Ovis aries: one gene and its partners. The protein of the gene in region 3 interacts with the protein of the main gene of each other region in a pairwise test. Links are inferred from orthologs where the notes say so. Each region holds a gene or a part of one and is shown on either strand. Other genes may lie near its edges. The genes, in order: DNM2, ZDHHC17, HTT, PSMD4, melanoma-associated antigen B18, IFT20 and HOXC11.

Region 1 (4,245 bases), on a different chromosome or scaffold from region 3:
TGAGAGGTGGGGATGGGAGAGAGACCCTGGGTTTCCCCAACCCAGAGACCTTGATCCTTCACTGAACAACCTCTTGTAAGAATGCTCAGCTCTTTGGGCCTCAGTTTTGTGCTCTAGAAAATGGGATCATAGCGGTGCCAGCCTCATGAGGCTTCAGTAAAGTCCAATGTGTAACTTCAGAGCACTTTAATTCTGACTAGCTTTGGTTATTGATATGAAAGGAACCGGGGCTTCCCTGGTGGCTCAGCCAGTAAAGAACCCACCTGCAAAGCAGGAGACCTAGGGTTGATCCCTGGGTAGGGAAGATCCCCTGGAGAAAGAAATAGCAACCCACTCCAGTATCCTGGCCTGGGAAATCCCACTGACAGAGAAGCCTGAGGGCTACAGTCCAGACTCACAAAGAGCTGACACGACTGAGCAACTAAGCATACACACACCCACAACGGAACCAGCCTAGTGAGCAACAGCACCCTCCAAGGAGACCCACTAGGTGCCAGGCACTATGCTAAGTAAGCACTTTTAACACACCGTGTCACTACATCCTTGCAAGTCCTGTTAAGGGTCCATTAGCCCTTTTTCTGGTGGGAAAACTGAGGCTCAGAGAGGTCAAACAACCTGTGCAAGGTCACGAGGCAGATGAAATGGACAGAGCTTTGCAGACACCCACCGGAAGCCTGGGTAGGCAGGAGGATGGCCAAGCAGGGGACCCAGCCTGGGCTGATCCCAAGTCCACACCTTTCCGCCACAGTAGAAAGAGGGCATTTCGCCAGGGACACAGCAGCAAAGGAGGAAATTCATGCCGCTGGGAGCAAAACCCTAGGCCACTGTGAAGGCGGGGCGGGGCTGAGCACCCAGCTGGGCTCCACTGAGCGCCAGCCTGGTGGCCTTGGGCAAACAGCAAGTCTTTTCTGAGCTGAACCAAGAGAGAAGTCAGCTTGGGGGCTGCTGGATGAACCTCTTTAACACTGATAACAACAACAATATGAACATGATGATGACTATGACGTTATCAGGGCTTCCCTGCTGGCTGAGCGGTAAAGAATCTGCCAGCAATGCAGGAGACACATGTTCAATCCCTGGGTCGGGATGATCCCCTGGAGGAGGAAATGCTAACCCATTCCAGTATTCTTGCTTGGGAAATACCATGGACCAGAAGGCCTGGTGGGCTACAGTCCATGGGGTCACAAAGAGTCAGACACAGGACTTCACGAGTAAACTACCAACCGCCATGACGTTATCATCTGGCAGCCGCAGTCGCAAATGGAGTCCTTCCCAGAATGCAGAAGTGGCCCCCCATCTGGGAGGCAGAAGGAAAAGAGGTGGGGGGAGGAGAGGGGAGAGGTAACCACCCTCAGTGGCCACAGGGCCCATTCTCCTCCATTGGCTTTGTGAATCCTGGAAACAGCCCAGAGTGGAATTTGTCCACTGGACAGATGGGCAAACTGAAACTTCTCGGGGCTTCCCAGGGAAGGCTATATCCAAGCTTTTGCCACTGCAGCCTGATCGGGCCAGAAGTTCCTCTCAGGATCCAAGGAGGATCCCCACCATGCAGGCTTTGGCTTGGGGGCTGGTCCCCATGTTCCAGGGCCCTGCAGGCAACCTGACATGGGCCAGGAAAGACTCCTGGAAAATGTCTGCCCCCCAGGGTCCTACTTCCAATTCAAAGGAGAGGAGTTCAAGTCTCACCCTTCAGCCCCCTTCTCTTCTGCAAGCTCCTCTCATCCCCTGCCCAGAAGTGGGGTCAGGGAGACGAGAAGGACTGACACCATGACACAGAGACAAAAGGATCCACTTGGAAGCGAGGAGCCAGCGTTCGCCAGGCACCAAGTTGAAGAGGCAGCCCAGGAGAGCCAGACAACAGGGTCTCCCAGGGTCCAGCCAGCCAGTCAGACAGCACAGGCCAGCTGGGTAACCCAACAGAGGAAGAGCTAAGTCTGTGAGGGGCACGGATGGGCAACCAGACAGGACAGGGCCTTCTGGCTAGCTAGCCAGGCAGCAGGGAGCTGCCCTGCGGTCCTGGACAGATGGACAGCCAAATGGTGGTGGCGGGGAAGCCTATCCAGGACAGAGAGACAGCAAGCCAGACGACAGGAACTGCTCCAAATCAATGAGCAGCCGGCCAGACCACGGGGATCGGCCCAGTAAATATCCAGGAGACAGGTTCAGGACAGACAGACAACCAGATGGTAGAATTCACCCACTAGAGCTGGGGGCCAGAGAGTCAGAGGTCTTGCACTGCACTTCCTGGCCCACGCCCCCCAGCGCGTGGGACACCCCTTAGGTCTGGGCCGGCTCCCCAGCCCCTACAGGGAGCCCTCCACTCAGGGCGTCCCACAGGGCCCGCCCCCCTGTCCCCGTCCCGGTCGCGGGCACGCAAGCGCCGCAGTTACGCCGGCGGCGCAGGGCGCGCCATTCCCAGTCCGCCCTCCGCGCCGTAGGCCGCCGCCCGCCCGCCGTCGCCACCGAGCTCGCTCACCGGCCCACGAAGTTCTCGAGCACAGAGCTCTTGCCGGCGCTCTGGCCGCCCACCACGGCGATCTGCGGCAGGTCCAGGTGGCAGCTCTGGCCGATGGAACTGAAGGCATCCTGCAGCTTGTTGACCAGCGGGATCAGCTCTTCCATCCCGCGGTTGCCCATGGCGCCGGTGGCCCCGGCCCGAGCGACCCGCGCTCCTCGCCCGCCCCTGTCCCTCAACGACGCGGCCCCGCGGCGTCCGCGGCCGTTGCTCCCCGCCCGCCCGGGCCTCGGCGCGACGCCCGCTCCCGGCTCGGCCTCACGGTCGCCGCCTCATCCGGTTCTCAAGCGACACCCGACCCGACCGACCTCCCGCCGGAGCCCTGGGGCTGCGCCAAAAATCCTCGCACTAACTCCGATTGGCCGGCTGGGCTGTCACTTCTGCACACAAACCAATGAAAGTGAGGCACGGGCCGATTGCCGAATGAGCCCGCCCCCTGGGGCCTATTCTCTGATTCATTGGGCGCAAGAACTGTCGCTATTGTGCAAGAGCCAATAGCAGCGGCAAGCGAGTTGTCTCGGCCGGGAGGCGGTGTTTCGGGAAAAGGCATGTTGGCCCCGCCTACTAGGGGGTGTTCCCGGATAGAAGGAACATCCGCCAGTCTTATTGGCAAGCAGACCCACCAATCAACAAGGCTGGCCAATGATACTAGGGATCGGTTCTTCGCTTGACTCTATTTAGTTCCCTAAAATTTTCCCATTGGTTTATATAAATATCACTCCCTTCTATCACCCAACAAGTCAAAGAGGGTGGGATTTAACTTCTAAATCTTGACTCTGATTGAAAGCTGTATCTGTCCATCAAAAAACCTCCCCCGCCCCGTTCTAGTTTGTGAATGTTGTATGTCAAGTAGGGTCTTCTGGAGCAGAGGATAGGTTCACAGTACGCGGCAACGCGCGCCGCCTAGTGGTAGGACTCAGTGCTGATAGTCACTTGTGTTTCTGGGCTCTAAAGAAAACTACAAGTCTCAAAATGCATCTTAGCCGCGAGCTTGCAAATCAGCTCCCTGCGCGGGGTCCCAACATATTTTGAAGGTCCAAATATACTTTGATATGCAGATGACACCACCCTTATGGCAGAAAGTGAAGAGGAAAGAAAAAGCCTCTTGATGAAAGTGAAAGTGGAGAGTGAAAAAGTTGGCTTAAAGCTCAACATTCAGAAAACTAAGCCAGAGAGAAGTAGCTCAGTAAGGAGTTAGGAGCAAAGGAGGTGGGGAAGTAGTCTGACTGGGCCAGGCAGTAACAGGGGAATGGAGAAACAAGGGGTGAAAGAATGGCAGAGTGGAATTGCCTTCTTCATGACCCAGAACTGCAGGTCTCAGAGACAAGCAACAAGACTGACAGTGTTTGGCACTGCAGCCTTGACTACGGTGGCAGAAACTTGAAATACCCTAACTGCTCATCCATGGAGCTCATTAAGTAAATACTGTTTATAATCCATAAACAAAATTGAGTAAATTTTCATGTACTAAAGTGTAAACAATTTGAGATACAGTATACTAAGAGAAAGGTTGGGGGGAAGCAAGGTACATGGAGAAGGAAATGGCAACCCACTCCAGTACTCTTGCCTGGAGAATCCCTTGGACAGAGGAGCCTGGTGGGCTACAGTCCATGGGGTCGCAGAGTCGGACATGACTGAGCAACTGACACACAAAATTGAGGAGATACTTGATGGCGCTGGCCTTGGGAAAATAAAAGGTTAAGTTGTTTACTGGCAAAAAAGAAGAGCAA
Region 2 (3,500 bases), on a different chromosome or scaffold from region 3:
TATTATGCATTTCAAATTCCTTTAATATTTAAATAGCATATATTCCTTAGAAATTTAAGAGGCATGACTAAGAAAATACTATGGCTTATAGTCAAAATTAAACAACATTTCTTAATAAGTACAAAGTTATTTAAGAAGGCACATTATTAAAAGATGTTTAAAATTTTAAAGTCATTTCACAGAAAAAGTCTGTTGCTAAAAGACAAGTTTTAACACTGAGAATGGTTAACCAAAATTTAAGATTATCAACAGAATTTTCCTGCAGGTATTCATAAAAATGTCTATAAATTTCTAAAATGCTCAGAGTGTAAATGTTAACATTTTGTATTTTGGGGGTACATTTTTCTTGGATTACTCTAGCATTTAGGGGAGAGAAATTCTCCTACAAATATCACAGAGGTGATTATCAAATGTAAAGGTCTTGACCTTTATAAAAATAAGATAATTAATGACCAAGTCAAGAAATTACTCAAAGTTATTATGCATACTTGGGATAAAAATCTGTGATTCTCTGCAATGATATTATTTACTTAGGTTACGTGGTGCCACATGTGGGATCTTAGTGCAATAATCTTCTTAAAGAAATCAGAAAACTATCTATTCAGCTATAAAGAGATAAAAGTCAGTAAGAATTCACTAATGAAAAGGTCACCAAAATCTGAAAAATACTTCAATACTAAAAGACGAAAATAAATAAATTAGTTTTTCAAAACAAATTCTTGCATGGAAGCAAAGGGTTGAGAGTAAGTAAGTTTCTTCCACCTCTGACAGTCTATTAAAAAACCTAAGTTTTATTAAAGAATTCCAATCTTGGTAATCACATTTCACAAAGCACAATCAATAAAGGCTATTTTTACCTTGATATTCTGGGCATCAACATTAGCTCCAGCTTCCAGAAGAAGACTAATGACTGTGGTATTCCCTGCTAGTACTGCCCAATGCAGAGCAGTGTTTTTGTGATACTTGTCACCAAGGTTAACTGAAACATTGAATGTTAAAAGCAATCTAGTTGGATCCACACTGAAAAGGAAAAAAAAACACAACAACAACAACAACCCTAATTTCAATTATAGAAATCATTACAGACACTAAACTGATTGTGGTTATATTCCATCTTGGAACACTTCTATTCTAACCTATTTTCGACAACTTTATAATGAGTAATGAGACAACATTTTTAACATGAAGAATTAAGTATGTTCTACATCACAGAACGTAAAGTAAACTAGTTCCAAGAGAGAGCACACTTGGTCCTAATGTTTATATTCTACATCATGGAGTTAATGTCATTAGTATTTAAATACTTAAACAATTAAAATTTTAAATTTAAATCTAGATTGTTCCAAAAATGATTTAAGGCAACTTATTAATGTTAAACTTGCCAATATGCCAGTCATATAAAAAATGAGTTATACTTTTAATAAGAAGGTAGCATCTTCCATTCTTGGAAACTGCTTAAGACTACCTTAAGGGCACTACAATTGCCAACATAAAGGTAAACATAAAGACTCAAAATACCCAAAAGGATAATCTGTGTTATATACTACATATTCATGGTAAGAATTTTAAATACTAATAAGTATAACATTAATTGCTTTTTCTCATCACTTGTTTTACATTTTATCATGCTGAAAATGATCTGAATAAGTATTTCATAATGGTTACATACCTATGTGTTCTATAAGCTGCCCACATTAAAGGCGTCATCCCATTCTGATCCATCATATCTACATCCTGATAGAGTAAAAAGTCAGACAGTAAAAATGTCTAAGTCCCTACCACATGTACTTAGAAAAACGTAATTTACACATCACAAAAGAAGCCGACATGAGGACACCACTCAGTCAAGGTTGATTTATGAAACTTTTCCTTTCTTAACTTTAAAGTAAAACTATTCAATATTTATTAATATTAAATATTCAAATTAATATGGATATGTGTTACTTATTTATAAATAAAAACATGTATTTAATATTTAATTAACTTCTATTTATAGTTTTCTCTTTTAAGATGCTTCACTCAGCCTTTTAAAGATCTTGACCTACCCTTGATCTTTCACCCACAATGGACAGATTAAATAAATGACTTCTGTCTCTGAAAAACTTATTTATATTAATTCATGATATGAGGGAATAATAAAACCCTGTTTATTTCTAGACATTTTAAAACACAGAATAAATTCAATAAATTTTAAAAGAGTCAAATGTTCTGAATCTACTAAAATTTACTGAATTTGTTCCTTGTTTTAAAATGCTTCTTATCACTATATCACTATGCATAAATATTTTTAGAATTAACTATCTAGACAAAGTCTGTGGTGAAAAAGCAAGGTAATAAAGCAATCCTTTGTCTTAGTCCCTACCATTTTCATTTTTTAAAAACTCATTATTTATTGTGCTTTTTACTCCCACATACTTAAAATAAAAAACCTGAATTGGCACTTTTTGATTTTTCAGTTTCAGGCATTATCCTCAACATCCATATTTTACACAACCTCAGCATGTAAAATGGCATGTTCTCTCTCTTCTCACTGGCCCATCACAGGCATGCACCTTTCCTAGTCCTTCCTCTGAAGAGATAATAATTCAGGTTCTGTAAATATTTGATGCTTACATTATTATAAATATATATGAATACTATTCCCAACAAAGTTATGTAGAAACCATGATTACTTTTTCTCTCCTACCCAGCTTTTTGCTTTCCTTGGTACTCTATTTTTTTCTCCCTTTTGCTTAATTTTTTTTTTTCTTTTTAGCAAATTAGAATTAAAACTACAACCTATTCAACCCAAACTCTTCTCAAGTTATCTAAAGCTTCTTTTAAGACATGCTAATGTATCAGAGACTCTATTCATTTCACTTCCCTAAAATTCTTTCTTGACCCACTCCAGCAATCAATTTGGCTTGATTCTGCTATGTACCTGAGGCATCTGTCTCATTAACTAGAACAGGACTTCTTTAAAGATCAAAATTGTTTTAAAATCATCTTTGTATCTACTTTTCGGGGCACGGAGAATAATCAAAAACCATCTGTTAAATGAAAAGACAAGTTTATCTATCTACTCTTCTAGGCTTGGGAAAGGCATGGGTGTTAGAACAAGACAGACATGATTTTGAATTCCTAGCTCCATCACTTACTAACTGTAAAATTGGCAAAATTACTATAATTCTCTGAACCTCAGCTTTCCCATCTACAAATGTGAATACAAATAATGGCTTCATAAGATCCCTGATGATTAAATGGAATGATGTGTGTAAGGCAACCTAATCCTATAACAGACATTCAATAAAAATTGTTTCCCCTTCATCCCGTCCCCATCTCCTATTCCTGGACTACATCAAACCTGCAGATGTTATCCAACATATGCTGTCTAATCCACCGCCCAGCGGAGAGAACGTAGTCATAGTGCGTGCACTGTTAGAACGCTTCATAACTCTACGTGCAGTTCTCTGCAAGCCACTCTCACTGATGGGAGTATGTCTCCAACGTCCAAATATATT
Region 3 (3,500 bases):
GGGGAGGCCTGCTCCTGTGCTCCAGGGGGTTCCTGCCTCCCCCAGGGCTCCTGCCCCGACACAGGCCTGCGGACAGCAAGGGGCGCCGAGGGGCTCCCCAAAGCTACAAAAGCAGCGGCCCAGGGCTGGGTGGCAGCTGCCTCACGCCTGGGTCTGGGCCCTCCAGCCGGAGCCCCCGCCCCACGGGGCTGCCCCTCGCACAGGGCTTACCTGGCCGGGCTCCTGCACACCCAGCACAGAGCCATGCCGCCCGCCCGGGCTGCTCCCAGCGCCGGGACAGCCGTCTGCTCCGAGGCTCTGCGGTCTGTCTGGGGAAGGCTGAAGGGAGGGGCCGTCCCCTTTTGGCAGCCAGCGTGTCGGGGGCGGGAACTGGATCTTCACTGACTCCAGCGTTTGCCCAGGAGGGTGATACACGGCACGTGACAAGCGCTATTGAGAAGCAGCGCAGTGGCCCGCCCAGCTGCACGGACCCGCAGGCAGACACAGGGGGTCCTCTGGGGGCCTCCCCTCCCCACGGACCCCCCCGGAGCCCCGCTCAGAGCAGGGAACACACGGGCTCCTGTTTCCTGGTTCGTGCCTCACTCTCTTGGGGCTTAAGGGAAGCGTCACCCTGACACCTGGGCTTCCTACAGAACTTGGGTTCCCAAAACGCTGACGCAAACGTCAACCAGGATGCTGACGGGACGGCAGGGCCGTCCGGGGCCCAGGACCAGGCAAGGATACATCGCCGAGACCCACGGGCTGGTGGACGCGCTGACGAAGAAGCAGGAGAGGCTCCACGTGGCCATAGCGACCGGGCTCCGCTGCGTGAAGTTGGAGAGCGACAGCATGACCCAGTCCCGCACCGTGGACGACTGCCCTGCGCTGTGCAGCGCCTGGAACACCTGCGCGGAGGCCGCGGGCGAGGCCGCCCCGTCAGCGCCAGCTGGGGGGAGCTGGGGGCCCCGCGCCCGCCTGGGCGCCCCGCCCGGCCCCTCACCTGGTACACGACAGTGGCCATGAGCTGCGGGTACGGCTGCTGGCTGGACAGGAACTCGCCGATGACCTTGTTCATGACGTCCTGGGGCGGGAAGAAGTCGTCCAGGAACTGAGGGAGGACGCGGGCCACCACGCGGGCTTCGCAGGGGAACCCCTTCCGGATCCTGTGTGGTGGGGGGTGGAGCCCGGATCAGAGCCCGTCCGCCGTGCTCCCCAGCCCGGGGGCTCCTGACCGGCTGGCATCCTGAAGTAGCAGCAAAGACGGCTGGGGTGGTGACATCACGGCACGCCACAGCCCCTCGTGACAGACCCACGTCCTCGTGAGGCCCTCAGGCACGTCTGCGCTCCTGGAACCCGTCAGTGCCCCTGCCAGGCCCCCTCTGCGCCAGCCCTGCCCCAGAGCCCCCAGCTGCCTGCCCTCAGCAGACCCGTGGTTGGCCCCTGGCACAGGGCCCTCCCAGGGCCAAGGGGCAGCCAGCAGGCTACTGGCCATCAGCACACCTCTGCTGGCCCGCCATGTCCACGTGTTCTGCGTGCAAGCCCCATCTGCAGGAAGCTGAGTACACACAGGCCTCAGGAGTGCGGAAGCGGGGCCCCTGCACAAGCACACACGAGGGGCTTGCGCATCAGCAGACTCTGGAGCCCGTGGAGATGGGCCCCCCAGAACCAATCAAACAGGCGCGTGTGACTGAAAAGTACCAGAAGGGACCTGGAAACCGGCCCGGTGTGCCCGCTCCACCTGCCTGCAGACGCCAACCATGACCCACAGGCACGAAACCCGCAAGGGAGAGTCAGCACCGTTGACCCAGAGGCCTCCACGCGTGACAGCGTGGCCAGGCTGAATGCCGGCCCTGCACGGGCAGACGCGCTCATCTCGCAGCAAGCCTGGTGCGTGAGCCCCCGCGGCAAGGCTAAGCGTGGGCGCCCTGCCTGCTCCCCAGGCTTGGTGAGCGTAAGCGTGGGACTGTGGACGCTCACTGAAATGGGCAACGTGGGCGCAGCGTGCACGCTCAGCTCTCTGGCCAGAGCGGGCCTGGAGAAGGCTCTGTGACGTGTGCGCAACGTGGGCACCCGGATGGCCGCCTGCTGCCCGAGCTGACCAGAGCTGAGGTGCGCAGGGCAGAGCCAGCTTCCCCGAGGCCACAGACACAGCCTGAGAGGCCCGGGGCAGAGCCGGACGAGGGCCCCAAGCCGTCCTGGACACCCGGGCACACACGTGGAGGCGGGCCGTCGTCACAGGCTCTCAAGGGTGCTGCCTGCTGGTTAACGCTGTCCGAGGGTCGTGAGAGCAGCCTCCTTTTCACAAGCGCAGCCTCCTCCCGAGCCGCTTCTAGCGCGGCCCCCAGGCCCTTCTCTATACAACGGCAGCTTGGACAGCCGCTTCCGTCCCGAGCACACTCCAGGACATCTCTTCAAAGGACCCCGACACCGCCACACTGCCCCTCGCCATCGGGACCCGGGCCAGCACTTGGGACAGCCCTGGGGCCGCCCGAGTCAAAACCTGGGCGCTGGGTGCCAGGACGGCCCGCGGCGGCGCGGAGCCTGGGGCGGCGCGGAGCCCGGGGCCCGGGCAGGGAGCAGGCCGCCCCCGGCTGTGGGCAGGCGGGCTCGCGCTCACCTGTCAAAGAGGACGGACACGCGTTCCATGGCCACGATCACGGACTCGCTGTCAGGGGCAGCAGGGCTGGGCTCAGACGCTCGGCCTGGACTGACTTTCTCCTTTCCTGGAACAGAGCCGTTTCGTGCCGCTGGTTTGTAAAACTGGACGGTTCTGTTAAGGGGGCCTGGAGCTCACACAGGAGTTTACGGAACTCCTACTGATGGTCTGACACGGGGGCGGGGGCCCGCAGGGCCCAGCCGAGACACAGGGCACAGGGGTCGGCCTGAGCGCTGCTCCCAGATGGGGCTCTGACCCCTGCTCCCAGACGGTGCTCTGACCCCACGCAGCCTGAAGGCCCCTGCAGAACCCCTGCGTCTGGCGCCCAGCGGCACGCGCTTGCCAGGCTCACCTGTGTACATGCAGGTGAGCATGAGGCCCAGGGCCGCCATAGCGCGGTGCGGGCTGTGCACGTTCACCCGGTCCACGCTCAGCTTGACCAGGGACTCTGCGTCCAGCCGGGAGAGCTGCTCGGAGAGCAGGAGGCGCTCCAAGCCCCGCAGGACACAGTGGTAGACGACGGACGGGGTGGCCTCCTCGCTTCCAGACAGCATCACCCCACACATCTGCGCGAGGGAGGGCTTCTGGGTCAAAAGGCTGCTGTGGGCCTCTGGCCGCCCGCCTCCTCCCAGGTGGGAGCGGTCGCCGGGCGCAGCCCAGGCCAGGCCGGCTCACCTGTATGATGGAGGCCGAGAACTCCGGCCCCACGTCCAGCGGGTAGTTCTCGATCAGGTAGAAGGCCGTGGCACACATCACCAGCACGTGCTGCTGGCTATGCACGTTCACGCAGCTGAAACCGAGGCGTCGGCCCAGATGAGGGCACACGGCCGCCGTGCTGCCGGCCGGCACCGCGCTGCCCTCCCAT
Region 4 (3,984 bases), on a different chromosome or scaffold from region 3:
GATCATCCAGCTGCAATAGCTACTAAGTACAAAGGCTGTGGGCAAGACCAGCAGATGGATGAAGGCTGGAAGAAAGATGTCAGAGGAAGCCCTGGGAGGTGGGGGGGGGGGGGGGGGGGCAGCTGAGAGGGAGGAAGAACCTGCTGTGCAGAACACGAGAGCGGTCCTCCTGCTGTCACGAGTGTATCAGAACCACTTTGAGGGTGACGGTGCTGGCACTGGTAAAAACACAGATGCTTGCACACCTATGTGTGCACCCCTAAAAAATGCAGTTTGCTTTTCCCAACATTGAACTTTATACAGACAGGATAATACATGCATTTCCTGTGACTACTTTCACTCAACAGTAATTTTTCCCAATAAAATTTTATATCAAAATAAGGGCTGACAAAATTATCCAGCTATTCCATAAAATTTTCATTAAAAAAAAAAAAAAATACAGATGCCTAAGCTTCCCTGGCTGGGAGTCTGAGCCACCAGACCAAGCAGAATCAAATATACACAACTTTCTGAGGGCCAGCAAAGCATGAGCAAAGAAGTGGCTTTCACTGCTCTTCTATGGCTGGGCTGTTACAACAGGGTGCCAGTGCATCACTCTGGACCTAACCTTTCCTCCCATACCCCAAGCCAGATCAGCATTCTTAAATCCCATTTTGTATATAGCTCTGGCTCCACCAGCCTCAGAACGTTTTCAGTAGTCCTCCATTGAAGGGTAAAGGGCAGAATTCAGCCTCCTCAACCCGACATCTGTGCTCTTCTACCTGGCTGCATGCCCCTTTCTCCAAAAAAGGGAACCACCTTCAACCAACAACCTAATAATGAAGCCACACTAGTCCATTTTCTACTCCCTAAACAAGCCTTGAGAATGTACACTTCAGCAGCTTTCCTTATGCCCTTCTCCTTACATGTAATGGCCTCTCCTTAACATTTGTCTAAGTCCCTTCAAGGACCCTCTTAAATTCTTTCCTGAGGACTTCTTAAGCATCATGGCAACTAACAGATGCAGAGTGCTGCAGTTTACAGAGCACCACGACACACACTGCCTACCCTTGCTATGAGAAGAGTAGATGTTACTATTATATTCGCATTTTATAGCTAAAGTGAGAGATTTACTACATTCTCAAGAACATGCGGCTGGAAAGTACCCCAAACACAGGATTTTGGATTCCAAATCCTGTCCTCTTTCTACTCTTAACTTGCTTTCGTCCAGAGGCTGCCATATTTAGCAAATGAAAATACAGGGCTCCCAGAATTCCCTGGTGACACAGTAGTAAAGAGTTCGCCTGCCAATGCAGAGAACATGGGTTCGATCCCTGGTCTGGGAAGATCCCACATGCTACACAGCAGCTAAGCCCAAGTGAGCTGCAACTACTGAGCCTGTGTGCCACAACTACTGAAGCTCCGGCGCCTAGAGCCTGTGTTCCACAGCAACCAGAACCCTGCAAACCCTCACCACAACAAACAGTAGCCCCAGGTCCCAGCAACTATAGAAAGCCCAGGCAAAAGCAGTGAAGACCCGGCACAGCCAAAAACAAATAAAGAACAGAAAATACAGGACTCCCAGTTAAATCTGAATTTCAGACAAACAACAGTAACTTTCTAGTGAAAGTATGTCCCATCCAATATGTGGGACATACACATGGCCATTGTGATATTAAAAATAATTGTTTATCTGAAATTTAAATTTTACTGGGCATCCTATGTGCTATCTGGCAACAGTATCTACCCAGCAAAAAGAAAACCCTTAGGTGTCTGTTCCATGCAACTGGGGATTTGTGTGTGTTTGTGTATTATTCTGTTTTCATTCCAGGCTCACACTTAGAAGAAACTCTTGAAACCTTGCAAAAGTGTGGTCCTCAGTTTTAACAGCTAGCCAAGTCAGACTGATGAGAGCTCACTGGATAAGTGCCGAAGCGTCTTTGAGTCAGATAATCCTGAGTTTAAACCTAGGCTCCACCACTTAACCTGCTGTGTGATTCTGTGTAAGTCATTTAAAACTGCCGAGACGCGGTATCCTCATCTGTAAAAGGGAGGGAGTATTGTGAGGCTTAAGTGAGATGAAGCAAATTAAATGCCTAACATTTAGAAGGTAGCTTAGTAAAGAATCTGCCTGCAGTACAGGAAATCCGCATTCGTTCCCAGGGTCGGGAAGATCCTCTGGAGAAGGAAATGGCAAACCACTCCAGGATTCTTGCCTGGAAAATCCCAGGGACAGAGGAGCCCAGCGGGCTACAGTCCATGGAATCGCCAAGAGTCCGACACGACTTAACGACTAAGCCACAAACACTTAAAAAGTACTCTTGTAGTGCCTTTGACGGTAACACCAGGAAAAGCAAAGGAGTTAGCGACAAGTGAGTGGGGCAAGGAAGGGAGCTGAAACTCTCTTCCTAACACCCATCATTGTGAAAAGGAGAGGAAGGCAGAAGACTAGCACGGTGAGTCCGAGAAGCAGGACTCTAGCTAAAGACAGATGTAGGCTGGTCTAGAGAAGACGACGCTGTAATGGAGAAAAATAGCAGGACCGGTCAATGACTGTCCGCGGACTGAGGGTTAAGGGGGGTACCTCGGGCCCGTCCGTCGGGAACTACCTCTGGGGCCCCGGGATGACTCAGGGAGTCGCTGGAGCTCCTTTCCTCCCGGCCCAAGGCCTCATCTCTTCCACCAGGCCCCCTCGCCCACCCCAGGACCGCCTGGCCTCCGAGCTACAGGCGCCCCCGACCCAGTCCCGCTGCCCAAGGGGGCCCGAGGTGGCTCCTCACCAAACCATAGTGCTTTCCAACACCATCGTGCCTCCTTCCTCCCTCCCCGACCGGTTCTCCTAGACCACTAAACAACAGCTCCTCCAATTGGCCCGGCGCGCATCACCAATCACTGACCTCGGTTGGGCCAGCTGGTTCCGCCTTCATCCCCGTGTTGCTTTCTGGGAGTTGTAGGCGCCGCCAGAAAGAAAAAAAAAAGTGGGAGCTGTTTGGGGCGGAGGGAGGGGCCAAGTAACACAAAAAAGAGGGCCACACCTCCACCTGCCCTGCCATTCAGGTTTTCTGGTGGCGTTCCTTGCAGAGAAGAGCTAAGAAAAAACGTGAAGGAACTTCTGAAAGTGCTGAAGCTATGTCTATTCCAGCATCATCGTTTTTAAAAACTGGTGGGATGACTACTGACTACTGACTTTCCAGCTCCCCCGGTTCCCCATGGCACTTTGTTCATCAAACTACTAAGCACTTATACCTCTGAACTGCATTTGTTTGTGTATCTGTCTTTCTCATTTCATTAAGGGCAAAAGAAAGTGAAAGTGTTAGTCGCTCAGTCGTGTCCCCCTCTTTGCGACTCCATGGATTGTAGCCCGCCAGGCTTCTCTGTCCGTGGAATTCTCCAGGCAAGAATTCTGGAGTGGGTGGCAATTTCCTTCTGCAGGGGATCTTCCCCAATCCAGGGATCGGACCGATCTCCTGCACTGCAGGCAGGTTCTTCACCGTCTGAGCCATCAGGGAAGTCCCCATTAAGGGCAAGAGAAGTGTCAATCTCTGCTATCCCTAAGTCCACTACAAAGCCTGACATATGGTAGGAAGGCAGAAAAAAGTTTGATGAATCAATAATTTTAACTAATCTCCCAAAGAATGGGAGACAACCTAGTCAATCACTTTCGCTTTTTAATCAAATCACATTTTAGTGACTTCCCTGGCAGTCTAGTGGCTAAGACTGTGCTCCTAGTGCAGGGGGCCCCAGGTTCAATCCCTGGTCAGGGAAATAGATCCTACATGCCACAACTAAGACCCAGTGCAGCATCCCTCAAAAGAAGAATTACATTTTAAAATGTCTTAGGGATTTCTCTAGTGGTACAGTGATTAAGACTCTGCACTTTCAGTGGAGGGGCTGTGGGCTCATACCCTGGTGGGGTAACTAAGATCCCACATCTGTCATGGTATGGCCAAAAAATAAAAATAAAATTATTTTAATTAAAAATGCCTTGGCTGGAAATTCCCTGAC
Region 5 (2,812 bases), on a different chromosome or scaffold from region 3:
GGAGGACTCTTATCACAAAATAAGTAACTAGGATATATAATGGTAAATACATCATTCAAAACAGCAGTGCTATCCAAAAGATACGTCAAAAGAAAACGAACAACAATGCACATGATGTTTATGGAAGTAAATGTAAAAAAAATTACTGACAGACTTAGGTAAAAGAAATCTTACATAGAGCAACATATCTTCTGTTTATTCATGATGAGTAGAGTATTGTACAGTAGTCAATTCCCCTTAAATTATTTATAGATTTATGCCTTGCTTGATTGGTCTGGCACCCTATCAGATTAGTAGCTCACTTACAAAGCATCAAGGTAAGAAACTGAGTGAGGACTGAGGGGAGAGCCCACTCCAAAATAAGAGTCCACAAAGAGCCGTTCCCCCCCCCCCCCCCGCCCACTATCAGTCTTGGTAGGCCCTAGACATGGTTGCTAGGCTCAGGCTACCCCTTACTTCCTGCTGGGGGTTCCGAGGGAAATGAGAACCCTGGTCTGTGGCCAGCTGACTTAGCTCAGCAGAGGAAGAAGTCCCAGGCCCTGTCAGGAGTCAGGTAAGACTCCCTCATGTGAGTTCTGCACGATTTCTCCGCCTGCCAGGACAGACAGGGAGGCCCTTCCAGAACCGATTCCCCCCCGCCCTCAATGCTGGCAAACCTAGTTGGGCGATACCGGAAGTGCTCTCCCTGCCTTCCGCCACGGCAGCCGCGGAGCTCGAGGCTTCAGTTGGAGAGGTGTGGCCTCGTATATCTACAGAGGGACGAGTTCCAGGATTGGACAAGTGTCCAGGTAGACAATCTTTGTTAGAAGTAAAGGGACACACTCCTCCCAGAACTCGGGTGGTCCCGTAGAGCCCCTCCCTATCTTAACTTGCGCCATCCCGACCGTCAACCCCCGAGTGGCTCAAAGTGACCGTTAGGCCCAACACCCCGCTACTTCCACCAGAAGAATTTGTGGGATGGGAAGCCTTGGTCTGAAGGGGAAGCCTCAAGTCAGCAGAAGGAGTCGTAAAAGGACTGGTCAGGAGTCAAGTTCAGTGTTCTGGGTTAGAATTAAGGTGACAAGCCCCTGATGAACAGAGGCGGCCCACAGAGTTCCGTTGGCCTCTGTCTTGTGGGTTTTTAAAACGGTACCCTTAAGGGGATCAACAAAAGCAGTTGTTCTTGGAGCCAAGATAGAAGAATCTCCCTATGGAGGCTATACACGCCTTCTTTTCCTCTGTCTTCTAGGGTGAGCTCTTCATCAACCTTGGCAGCTTGAGCAACTGTCTGCGGTCCCTGACCAGTCATCATGCCTCGGGGTCAGAAGAGTAAGCTCCGTGCCCGTGAGAAACGCCGCCAGGCCCGTACTGAGACCCAGGGCCTAGAGGTTGCTAAGGCCTCTGGGGCAGCAGCAGCAGGAAAGTCCCCTTCTTCGGTTTTTGGGGACAGACCTGAGAATCTGCCTGCTGCTGGGACACCCAGCACTCCTGAGGCACCTGAGGGAGCCACTGGTGCTACTGCAGCTAGTTCAGGCACCAACTCAGCTGAAAATATCAATAGCCCAAAGGCGGAAAGCACAAGCTTCCCCAAGGGCGCTGAGAGCTCACTCAGTGAGATTTTAAATAAGAAAGTGGTTCTGTTGGTGCAGTTCCTGCTGCAGAAGTATCAAAAGAAAGAGCCAATTAGAAAGGCAGAGATGATGAAGTTTGTTATCAAACAGTACAAGAGTCATTACAATGAGATCCTCAAGAGAGCTTCTGATCATATGGAGCTGGCTTTTGGTGTTGATTTGAAGGAAGTGGATCCTACCAGGCACTGCTACACCCTTGTCAACAAACTAGACCTCTCCTATGATTCAGCTCTGAATGAATATGAGCACATGCCAAAGACCGGCATCCTGATGATTGTGCTTGGTGTGATCTTCATGAGAGGCAACTGCGCCCCTGAAGAGGCGATCTGGGAAGTGCTGAATATGATGGGTGTATATGCTGAAAGGAAGCACTTCATTTATGGGGATCCCAAGAAGGTCCTCACAGAAGATCTGGTGCAGCTCAAGTACCTGGAGTACCGCCAGGTGGCCAACAGTGAGCCTCCACGCTATGAGTTCCTGTGGGGCCCAAGAGCCCATGCTGAAACCAGCAAAATGAAAGTCCTGGAGTTTTTAGCCAAGGTTCACGATACCGTCCCCACTGCCTTCCCATCCTGGTATCAAGAGGCTTTGAGAGATGAGGAAGAGAGAGCCCGAGCCAGAGCTGCAGCCAGGGCTCGTACTGCTGCCCTGGCCAGTGCCCGCTCTAGAGCCAGAGCCAGCACCTCCTCCCAGGCTAAGTGAAATTCAAAAAGGTGTGTCAGCATTCTAACAGTGGAGGGCCAGGGTGGGACTGGAGAAGTGTATACCATCCTGGAGTTCCTGGTATATATTGCTAACTTAAAATTTTACCTTTCTCTCTTTTTTTTCTTTTTTAGGTTGAAAAAGAGCAGTAACATTCTAAGCTGTGGATGACCAGGGTGGGCCCACAGGGAAAATTATAATATCATCTTTGTGTTTCTGTTCTATATAGTAAACAAGAGTTTAATCTTTTCTCTTTTCTTTTTCTATTTTTTCCTCTTTCTCTCTCTTCCTTTCTTTCTTTCCTTAATGTTTTCTTTTAAAGAAGATATACATTTCAGAATCTAAACTTAGTGATTTTGGTTACATATTAGATTTAATCTAATAGATTTAATATAAGAGTTTTATTATCTTGCAACATAAATTGGGAAACCTTTAGTATATATTGAACTAGAACAACACAACATGGCATGGTAAAAGGCACTTCTTTGGACATGTGAAAA
Region 6 (4,300 bases), on a different chromosome or scaffold from region 3:
TAGAAGTCGAAAGGACAGAGGATGGAGAGGGAAAGCCGGGTGGAGCCAGAGCAGAGATACCCTGTGGGCCAAGCTAATGTTTGTCTTTTTTTTCTGTAGATGAGAACCAGCAGAGTTATCGTCTCCCTTCCCAGGCCACCTCGCATTCCTGGTCCAAAGGATGCCTCAATTCTGGGAAGGAAACACTGAAAACTCACCCTCATTTTGGCTTAAACACACACACAAAATAAAAATAAGAGGGCACATGCCCTGTCTAAAAAGGGAGGCAATGCTACTGAGGTCTAGCTCTTGGCTGCTAAACCAACTTGGAAACCCCCAGTGTTCCAAAGGCTACCACAGCCTGGCCCTGCACCAGTCCTTCTCTCTCATCTTCCCCAGCCTCCCCTGTTTCCCTTCCCGATACGTTAGAGCAGTTCTGTTCTGAATGGGGTGACTCTGGAAGCAACTTGCCAGGGTAGGTATACCACAGAAAGAGCAAGGGTTAAAAAGAATCAAGTTCCACTATTGCCAGAACTGACTTTCAAGAGGACCAAAAATCCAGATTTATGTATGCAATCTGACTTTTAAAGAACAGTATCTCCTTTAATTCAAAAATTTTAAGTTAAAAAAAAAACACACCCAAAACCCACATCCAACATTGTGTGGGCCAACTAACACATGTCTAGCTGTGTATGGCCCAGGGCCTTCGGTCTCACTGCAGTCCATTCAAGTAAGTCAACTAGCATCTTCCTTTTGAAACACTTTAATCATCCAGAGTTCCCTTGTAATTGGGCTTTTTAAAAAGATCTGTCTTCCTATTTGTCCTATTTACACATATAGTCTAAGTCAGGGGCCCCCAACCTCCGGGATCTAATGCCTGATGATCTGAGGTGGAGCTGATATAATAATAATAGAAATAAAGTGCACAATGAATGTAATGCACTTGAATCATCCCCAAATCATCACCCCCGCCCTGCCTCTGCCCCCTGACCATGGGAAAACTGTCTTCCATGAATCTGGTCCCTGGTGCCTAAAAGGTTGAAGACCGCTTGTCTAAGCATTTAGCACCTACCAGGTGAGTGGTAAAGAATCCACCTGCCAATGCAGGAGACACAGGTTCAATCCCTGGGTTGGGAAGATCCCCTCGAGGAGGAAATGGCAACCCACTCCAGTATTCTTGCCTAGAAAATTCCATGGACAGAGTAGCCTGACGGGCTACAGTCCAGGGGCCGCAAAAGAGTCAGACACAATTGAGCACACACACAAGTAACTAACCAGACAAACTGCTTCAAATAACCAGAGGGCACAAAGAGCTGCTTCAATTCGCACTCCCTTCCCAGAGAGCTTGCATTTATTCACAAACATCTACTGTCCCGAGGATAGAGTAGTGAAGAAAATGCTTCAGTGCTTTCAGTTCCCGACCTCTGGGCAGGAAGTAAACAAATAATCACAAATTATGATAAAAGTATGAGGAAAAGCACACGGTGCTACATGAAGCTGTAGCAGAAGGATAAAATTCATGTGGACACAAAATTACCCCCCAAAACTGCAAACAAAAGTCTTCTGAAAAAGTGACATGCTGAGAACTAAAGGCTGTCCAGAAGTTTGTCAAGTGAAGGGAGGAGGAGGTATTTCTAGGCAGAAGGAAAAGCACCTGTGAAGATGCTGAGGCTATGAGAAATGGAACCTGTAACAAGAGCCAAGAGGCTAGTGTGGCTGAAAGGCTGAGCAAGGGATAAAGAGAAACGGGATGAGGTGAGATGGGAAGGCTAGGTAGTGCTGGATGGCGGAGGGCTCTGAAAGCTGCAGTAACGAGCCTGGATTTTCTCATAAGCGTTTAACGGACAGCCTGTGGATTCTCAGCAGAGTGGCATAGTCTATCTGACTACCTGCCCTTTAGAGAGATCACCAAGACCCAGGATAGAGAATGGGTTGGAGGAAGAAAGAGGAGGGAGCTACAACTATCTTGCTCATTGCTGTTACCCTAGCATCTAACATGATACCTACACAGAAACTGGCACTCAGCAAATGTATGTGGTATGAATGACTGTGAAAACAGAGCAGGCTATTTCAGTAACCAAGGCTTGGAGCTGAAGAAGTGTTCCGATTTGAGATGTTTTGTAAGTCCAGTTGATAGGACTTAGCAAAGGATGACTGAGGCAGGGGTTTGGGGAGGAGTGAAAAAGAGTCAGGCAAGATTCCCGCGTACCTGGCCTGAGCCAGCTGCACGGCTGGAAGGGATAGTTGAATGAGAAGGGTCAGACCGGAGAAGAAGCGGAGAGGGTTCAAAGCCGACTACCGGATTCTCTCCCAACTCCCACCACACGCGCATCTGAGGAACACCGGACACAAGAGCCGGACTGAGCTCCAGTAAGAGAGGGTGACGCGTTCTCCTCCAAACCCACCCCGGGGGTCTCCCCGGAACCACGCTGGGCGCTCCGAACAGGCTCCACCCGTGGGGTGTGGGGAAAATTAGGAAGACCTGGGTGTGGAGCTCGCGTCTTCACTACGTAAACTCCTTGAACTTAATCTGAGCCGCGGTTTCCTCCTAAGATAGTTGGGAGCAGCAGCGCGTAAAGCTCCAGGCCCTAGCCGGGGGTAAAACCGCTCCCAGAGCCTGGCGGAATTACCACGTTTCTTTCGCCCCGCGATTGCTTTTCCTCGGGGCACGGGCCTGTTAGGCTAATCTCACCCCGGGCTTGCCCCAAGCCCGCCAACCCGGGGTCACGGCCTACCTGTTCACCCAGCAGCGACAGCGCTGGCGACCCAGGCTAACGTCGGAAGTCAGCGCCTCTCTCCAGTCGGCTGCCGCCGACACCCTGCCCAGCAGCCTCAGCTGCTGCCACGGCGACAGAACCTGTTTACGTCAACGTCACTTCCCGACCCCGAAGCACTTAGACCCATCAAGCCCGCAGGGCCTGCTGGGAAACAGAGGCCTGAGAGGAAGGATAACTGCCTACGAGACCCAGAGCCTTTGCGCCGGAAAGGCTGCCGGAAGTAGCTATGCTCTCAGCGCAAAATACTCTCAGGGGCCCCTCCCTCCGCCCTGATTGGATGCTGGGCCTGCCCTGCCTTCTCGTCTCAGGCTCCCGCCGGCTTGGGGCGGAGTCCTTGGGTGGAGGATGCGAGTTTCGGCCCGGGATTGCTGGAGCTCGAGCGGCCACAGTTCGGGGGCGGCACGGTGTCGACTTGCAATCCAGCTGAGAGGAGAGGCGCCACCGGGGAGGGTGAGAGCCTAGCCGGCCCATGTCCTAGGGGAAGGGATGGTTGGGTCCTGGGCTGAGCAAAGAGAGCCCCACGCGGTCTTGGGGAAAAGGCGTGGGACGGCGAAAGAGGGGTGGGGGTGGAGAGCTCAAATCCTCCCCTGGGGATGGGTGTCAGAACCGGTCTCTGTTTCTCAATAGTGAGGAGGGGTATGAATTGGGAAAGACTCTACACTGGCATGGAGAGGTTGGGTCTGGATAAATTTGCCCACACCTTTTGGATGTAGCAATAGAATTACACTTTGGATTTTCTGCTAGATCCGCCCTCTCTGACCAAGATCGGCTCCTCCCCTCGCCATCCCTGGTGTGACGAATTTCTGGGACCTTCTTTCCTTAGGACCCCACCGTCTAACACCGCCGTGATTGTTTGCCCTTTATTCCGCTTAGGTTCCCATTCGCTTTGCCTAGTGTGACACAGATAGGCCCCTAGCATCCCCAAATACCCACACACAAAGTCCGGAAGGAAGAGCTCTGAGGCTTTCAGTGGAAACTTCATTTTCACTGGAATTACCTTCTGGGGCGTCACCTGCCACAGGATTCCTGGAACCTATTGGCCTGGGCGGAATCTGAGCAACTGGAATCTCAGCTGACGTCATCCAGGGGCTCAAAGCAATTGCTTTGTTGGAAAAGAATAGATTAGTTTGGATTTGTCTTCCTTTGTTGGCAGCCGCCTAACCTTTGGTGAGCTCCTTTTCTTTGATCGTGGGGAAATTGGGGCTAGACACAAAATGCATAGAGAACTTGTTAAAACCTGTTAAGGGGTGGATTTATTCCTTCCGGGTGGGCAGTTTGGTAAAGTTATCTCATACCATTCAAGCTTAACTTACTGATTGGGCAGTCTGCTGGGGCGGGGCGCTCATCTCATCCATACTGGACAAACCACCAAAGGAGTTCAGTACTTCATACAGCACCTGTCCTGGCCTTTCCTTGGACATTCTTCCCAGGATGAACGGTCAGTCACTCAGTCATGTCCAACTTTGCAACCGCAGGGGCTGTAGCCCCCCAGACTCCTCTGTCCATGGGATTTCCCGGGGCAAGAACACTGGAGCAGGTTGCCA
Region 7 (3,958 bases), on a different chromosome or scaffold from region 3:
CACCCAATCCGAGCAGCAAGACATGGTCGCGAGGTGTGTTTTCTTTTAAATAAAGAGTCTTGGCCTCGGCGCCAACGGTGTCCACTCGCCGTGGGTCAGACACTTTCCTTCACCCCCCATTCCAGGCCCTGTCCCTGTCCCACATGGAGTCAGACCAAGGTGAAGGAGGTTGTCCAGAAAGACGTGCGGGAAACGGCAGTGGGGGCCAGCCCTGGCCACAGTCCAGTTTTCCACCCGCGGAAAATAGGCGAGTTAGAAAATAAAAATAAAAATAAAATAAAATAATTTCTCCCTTTCCCCCCTCCCCTCAAAAGGGCCCAGTCTGCGGTTACAGCAGAGGATTTCCCGAGAAATACTGCAGCCGGTCTCTGCTTAGTTTTTTTTCTTTCATCCTTCTGTTCTGAAACCAAATTTTCACTTGTCGGTCCGTCAGGTTCAGCATCCGAGACAGCTGCAGCCGCTTCTCTTTGTTGATATACACGTTGAAGAAAAACTCTCGCTCCAGTTCCCGGATCTGGAATTTCGAATAAGGGCAGCGCTTCTTGCGGGTGCGGGGGGCGTCTGGAGGGGAGGGGAGGGGGCAAGTGCGAGGAGAGGGGGAGAGAGACACGTGAGACCCGGGCGACCCCAGCCCCCCGGAGCGGCCGGCGGGCCCCTCTGCCGGCCCCACCGCCGGGCAGCCCTCCCGCCAGGCCGGCCGGCTCTCCTCCCGCGGGCGCGGCGCTGGGCCGAGCCGCGACCCCCCTGCCTGGGCGGCAAGCGCGTCCCCCGTCCCGGGCCACCGCGGGGGCCCGTGCCCCCTCCCCTCCGGCGAGGGCCGTGGCTGTGGCGGGGTCTGCGGGAGATGCGCGCCAGCCTTGGCCAAGTGCGTCCCCAAGGCCCCCCGCCCGCTCAGCCGCGCTCCTCTGCCCTCCGGGTGGCTCTGAAAACCCACCCCCTCTCCCCACCCCCAGAAATGTGGGGGGACCGCGGAGAACAGGCGCAAAGAAGTGCGATCCGGCGAGAGTCACTGGGAGGCGGGGAGGAAGCAAGAGAGCAGGCAGCAGAGACACCCGAGAGCCGCTTCCGGGGGCCCTGGCGCCCCAGGACGCCCGGCGGGCCGCTCCTTCCCCGCGGCCGGGCCAGGCCGGCGCAGAGGCCGCGGGCCGCAGGGAGACGCCAAGCCCCAGGCCTGGAGCAGAGGGGAGCCCTGAGCCCGCCTCGCCCCCACCCCCTGTCGCCGCTGACCCTCGGGTCGCTCCGGGCCCTGCTCAGGGACCCGCCAACACAGAGTTTGAACATTTCAAAAAATAGTTTTTTTTTTTTTTTTTTTAAAGAAGCAGGGCGGCCCTGGCTGGACTCCCCGGGCTCCGGCTCTGCTCCATTGCCTCTCTCCTCCACCACTCCCCCTCTCGGAGTTTCTCCCTGTCTTTCCCTTGCCCTCCCCTTTCTCCCCCTCCACCCCTCCCCTCCCTCCCACCCCCAACCCCGGCAGCCGGGCTCCCCATCCTTCCTTAAATGCTCCTCTAAGTTCACGATCAAAGTTAATATTGCCCGCGATGGTGGCGCTTTAAAAATTTTCACAGACCGAAGGAGATAACGGAGAGGGGGGTTCACCCGGTTTTTCCAAAGGGCCCTTTTCCCTCCCTCCCCACCCCTTCTCCATCGTAAAAAGTCGAGTCGTTGGGAGAGAGGGCTTTGTAGGTTATAATAAAATCCTTTGAATGCTTATAAAACTCCACATAAAATTGGACTGACCCAAAACACGAGGCCGTCCCCGCTCCCCTCGCCTCCCCCCTACCCTCGCTCGCCCTCCCTCCCTAGCTCCCTCCCTCCTGCCCGCCTGTTTCCCGGCCGCTGCTACCTACTGGGGGCGGCTCCCTTGGCCGGCTCCTTGGCCGCCGAGTGGGCTGAACCGGACGAGCTGGGATTCGTGTTCTCCTCCTCGGCCTCGGCCTCGGCCCCCGCCTCAGCCCGGGACGCCAGTCCCGAGGCCGGGGGCGCCTCAGGCTCCCCTTTGGCCTCACCCTTGCCCGGGCAGGGGGGCTCGGCGGGCGGGTCGCCGCCGCCGCAGTAGGCGTTGTCGAAGAAGCGGTCAAAGGCTTGGGGCAGGACGCTGTTCTTGTTGACTGAGGAGTAGAAGCCGGCGGGGGCGGCGTGCGGGGCGCTGGGGTGGTGGTGGCCGCCGTAGGAGCCTTCGTTTTTCATGAGGATCTCGGTGACGGTGGAAGGAGGCAGGCACTCCCGGTGCATGAGCTCGTCGGCCGCCGCATAGCAGGAGGAGTAGCTGTTCCGGGGGTGCCACTTGCCGGAGGGCTCCAGGCCGTATGAGACCTCTCGGACCGGGGGCACTTGGGCCGGGTAGGGATAGGAGATCTGACGAGAGGGGGCCTGGGGCAGGAAGGAGGAGACCGTGGAGAACTCGGGCACGTAGTAAGTGCAACTGGGCAGATAGAGGTTGGAGGCGCAGCTCCCTCGCTCGCCGAAATCGGCGCCCCTCTCCTTGCGCGACGGCGAGCAGAAGTTGCCCAGGTTGACCGAGTTAAACATCGTTCTCTTCTGCCGGCTCCAGATGGAGGTTTTGGACCAGGTCTAGCGAGGGGGGAAAATTTGGGAAGGCGAGATGACGCGTTATCCGTCTTAGTCTCTCTCCCCGAGCACGTGATCCAAAGTAGATATTGTCATATATCAGTTCGGAGCACTTCGCAGTCGTAGGAGGGGTTCTCTCTTAGGTAAGATGGGGACGTTCAGGCGATTGGTTTGCAAACACCGCAGAAACATTATGAAAATCAATTGCAGATTTGTATTCGTTTTGCTCTTGACACTCCCCTCCTCTCCATTCCACAGAGCGAGCAAAGGAGGAGAGAGAGGGTTGGGGTGGGGTGGGCGGTGGGATGGGCGGGGGCGGTGGCTAGGAGGGGGTAATTGTATTTTTTTCTAGCTGCTGCTCTTTTTTTTTTTTCCCCAGGATTGGGAGAAGGAGGAGGGTTCTCACATATGGGGGTCTTGCCTTCTCCCTGTGATCAGCCCAAGACAGAGGTGGGGATGAGGACCTCTTTCTCCGCTGCCTGATTCCTCCAGAGACGTGAATCTTTCCCCCCAACTCTCAGGGACTCTTACCCCACCAACCCGAAGAGAGTCAGTGCCTGTTTACAAGAGTTTGAAGAAGTCGATTCTTTTCCTAGCCAGGGCTGGTTATCCAGACTCGCTTTCCCCTCTGGAGGGACTCCCTGGAAGGGTATCTGAAGTTTCCCAAAGGTGAGGCGGCCCAGCAACCAGCCAGTGTCCCAACTTTGTCTGGCTTGCTGTGCTGCCGCCGGCTAGGGACTCAGATTAGTCATAAACAGTGGTAAGCAGTGAGCCAGCCGCCCAGCCGGTGCCTGGCGAAGTCTGGGAAAAACCTTCTCTAATGTTGTGTTAAATATTTAGTATGAGAGAGTGGCCCTGGGTGAATATTTCATGCCTGCCTTTATTGTCAATCAATGCACAGAAAGCTGCATCCACAGTGGCTTTTAAAATTTCAACCTCCAAGAAAAAGGTTGCAATGAGAGTCTTGGGCGTATTCTCTGTTGGGGCCCCTTTGGATTGGGTGCTCAGTGTCAGCTTCTGCGCAGTAAAGAAGCCCAGTGTTGGGTCTAGGTAGGATATGATGGGGGATCTGGGTTTGGGGTTGATATTCTTGAATGATTTGGGTGGACAGTATAGATCTCTGCGACAGACCAGCAGGGCAGTGGAAGGGAACTGAGGACCCTGGCGGGCTGTGCAGGGCCAGGGGCCACTCCCTAGTGGAAACCCCCAGCCCCACTCCTCCCTCCCCAGGGGTTGCAGTCAGACCTCGGTGGGTGCCTCTTTGCAGTTTCTCAGCCCTGCCCTGCCCTCCTCCACATCTACCAGCCTCCTAGATGGGTGTGACCCAAGGGGTGGGCTCAGTGGTTCTGCCCTCCCTTGCCTGCCTCCCTTCCCTCTGGGCACCACAGGA

Evidence for each region.
Region 1: the proteins of HTT (region 3) and DNM2 interact in binary tests that used the Homo sapiens proteins (3 or more experiments, as listed by UniProt). The link is inferred for Ovis aries from reciprocal best matches to the Homo sapiens genes HTT and DNM2.
Region 2: the proteins of HTT (region 3) and ZDHHC17 interact in binary tests that used the Homo sapiens proteins (3 or more experiments, as listed by UniProt). The link is inferred for Ovis aries from reciprocal best matches to the Homo sapiens genes HTT and ZDHHC17.
Region 4: the proteins of HTT (region 3) and PSMD4 interact in binary tests that used the Homo sapiens proteins (3 or more experiments, as listed by UniProt). The link is inferred for Ovis aries from reciprocal best matches to the Homo sapiens genes HTT and PSMD4.
Region 5: the proteins of HTT (region 3) and melanoma-associated antigen B18 interact in binary tests that used the Homo sapiens proteins (3 or more experiments, as listed by UniProt). The link is inferred for Ovis aries from reciprocal best matches to the Homo sapiens genes HTT and MAGEB18.
Region 6: the proteins of HTT (region 3) and IFT20 interact in binary tests that used the Homo sapiens proteins (3 or more experiments, as listed by UniProt). The link is inferred for Ovis aries from reciprocal best matches to the Homo sapiens genes HTT and IFT20.
Region 7: the proteins of HTT (region 3) and HOXC11 interact in binary tests that used the Homo sapiens proteins (3 or more experiments, as listed by UniProt). The link is inferred for Ovis aries from reciprocal best matches to the Homo sapiens genes HTT and HOXC11.

What each region holds. Positions count from the first base shown.
Region 1 is NC_056058.1:13,045,420-13,049,664, reverse strand, and holds the start of DNM2 (dynamin-2), read right to left. Parts: upstream 2,801-4,245; 5' UTR 2,638-2,800; coding exon 2,477-2,637; intron 1-2,476. UniProt on the Homo sapiens protein: Catalyzes the hydrolysis of GTP and utilizes this energy to mediate vesicle scission at plasma membrane during endocytosis and filament remodeling at many actin structures during organization of the actin cytoskeleton.
Region 2 is NC_056056.1:112,711,772-112,715,271, reverse strand, and holds part of ZDHHC17 (palmitoyltransferase ZDHHC17), read right to left. Parts: intron 1,735-3,500; coding exon 1,670-1,734; intron 1,021-1,669; coding exon 858-1,020; intron 1-857. UniProt on the Homo sapiens protein: Palmitoyltransferase that catalyzes the addition of palmitate onto various protein substrates and is involved in a variety of cellular processes.
Region 3 is NC_056059.1:116,328,161-116,331,660, forward strand, and holds part of HTT (huntingtin), read right to left. Parts: intron 3,426-3,500; coding exon 3,311-3,425; intron 3,202-3,310; coding exon 2,988-3,201; intron 2,703-2,987; coding exon 2,597-2,702; intron 1,143-2,596; coding exon 980-1,142; intron 885-979; coding exon 724-884; intron 1-723.
Region 4 is NC_056054.1:101,142,702-101,146,685, reverse strand, and holds the start of PSMD4 (26S proteasome non-ATPase regulatory subunit 4), read right to left. Parts: upstream 2,801-3,984; 5' UTR 2,786-2,800; coding exon 2,760-2,785; intron 1-2,759. UniProt on the Homo sapiens protein: Component of the 26S proteasome, a multiprotein complex involved in the ATP-dependent degradation of ubiquitinated proteins.
Region 5 is NC_056080.1:24,366,450-24,369,261, forward strand, and holds melanoma-associated antigen B18, read left to right. Parts: upstream 1-1,242; 5' UTR 1,243-1,289; coding exon 1,290-2,312; downstream 2,313-2,812. UniProt on the Homo sapiens protein: May enhance ubiquitin ligase activity of RING-type zinc finger-containing E3 ubiquitin-protein ligases. Proposed to act through recruitment and/or stabilization of the Ubl-conjugating enzyme (E2) at the E3:substrate complex.
Region 6 is NC_056064.1:19,762,925-19,767,224, forward strand, and holds the start of IFT20 (intraflagellar transport protein 20 homolog), read right to left. Parts: upstream 2,801-4,300; 5' UTR 2,715-2,800; intron 1-2,714. UniProt on the Homo sapiens protein: Part of intraflagellar transport (IFT) particles involved in ciliary process assembly. May play a role in the trafficking of ciliary membrane proteins from the Golgi complex to the cilium.
Region 7 is NC_056056.1:132,539,316-132,543,273, forward strand, and holds the start of HOXC11 (homeobox protein Hox-C11), read right to left. Parts: upstream 2,801-3,958; 5' UTR 2,530-2,800; coding exon 1,848-2,529; intron 562-1,847; coding exon 329-561; 3' UTR 1-328. UniProt on the Homo sapiens protein: Sequence-specific transcription factor which is part of a developmental regulatory system that provides cells with specific positional identities on the anterior-posterior axis. Binds to a promoter element of the lactase-phlorizin hydrolase gene.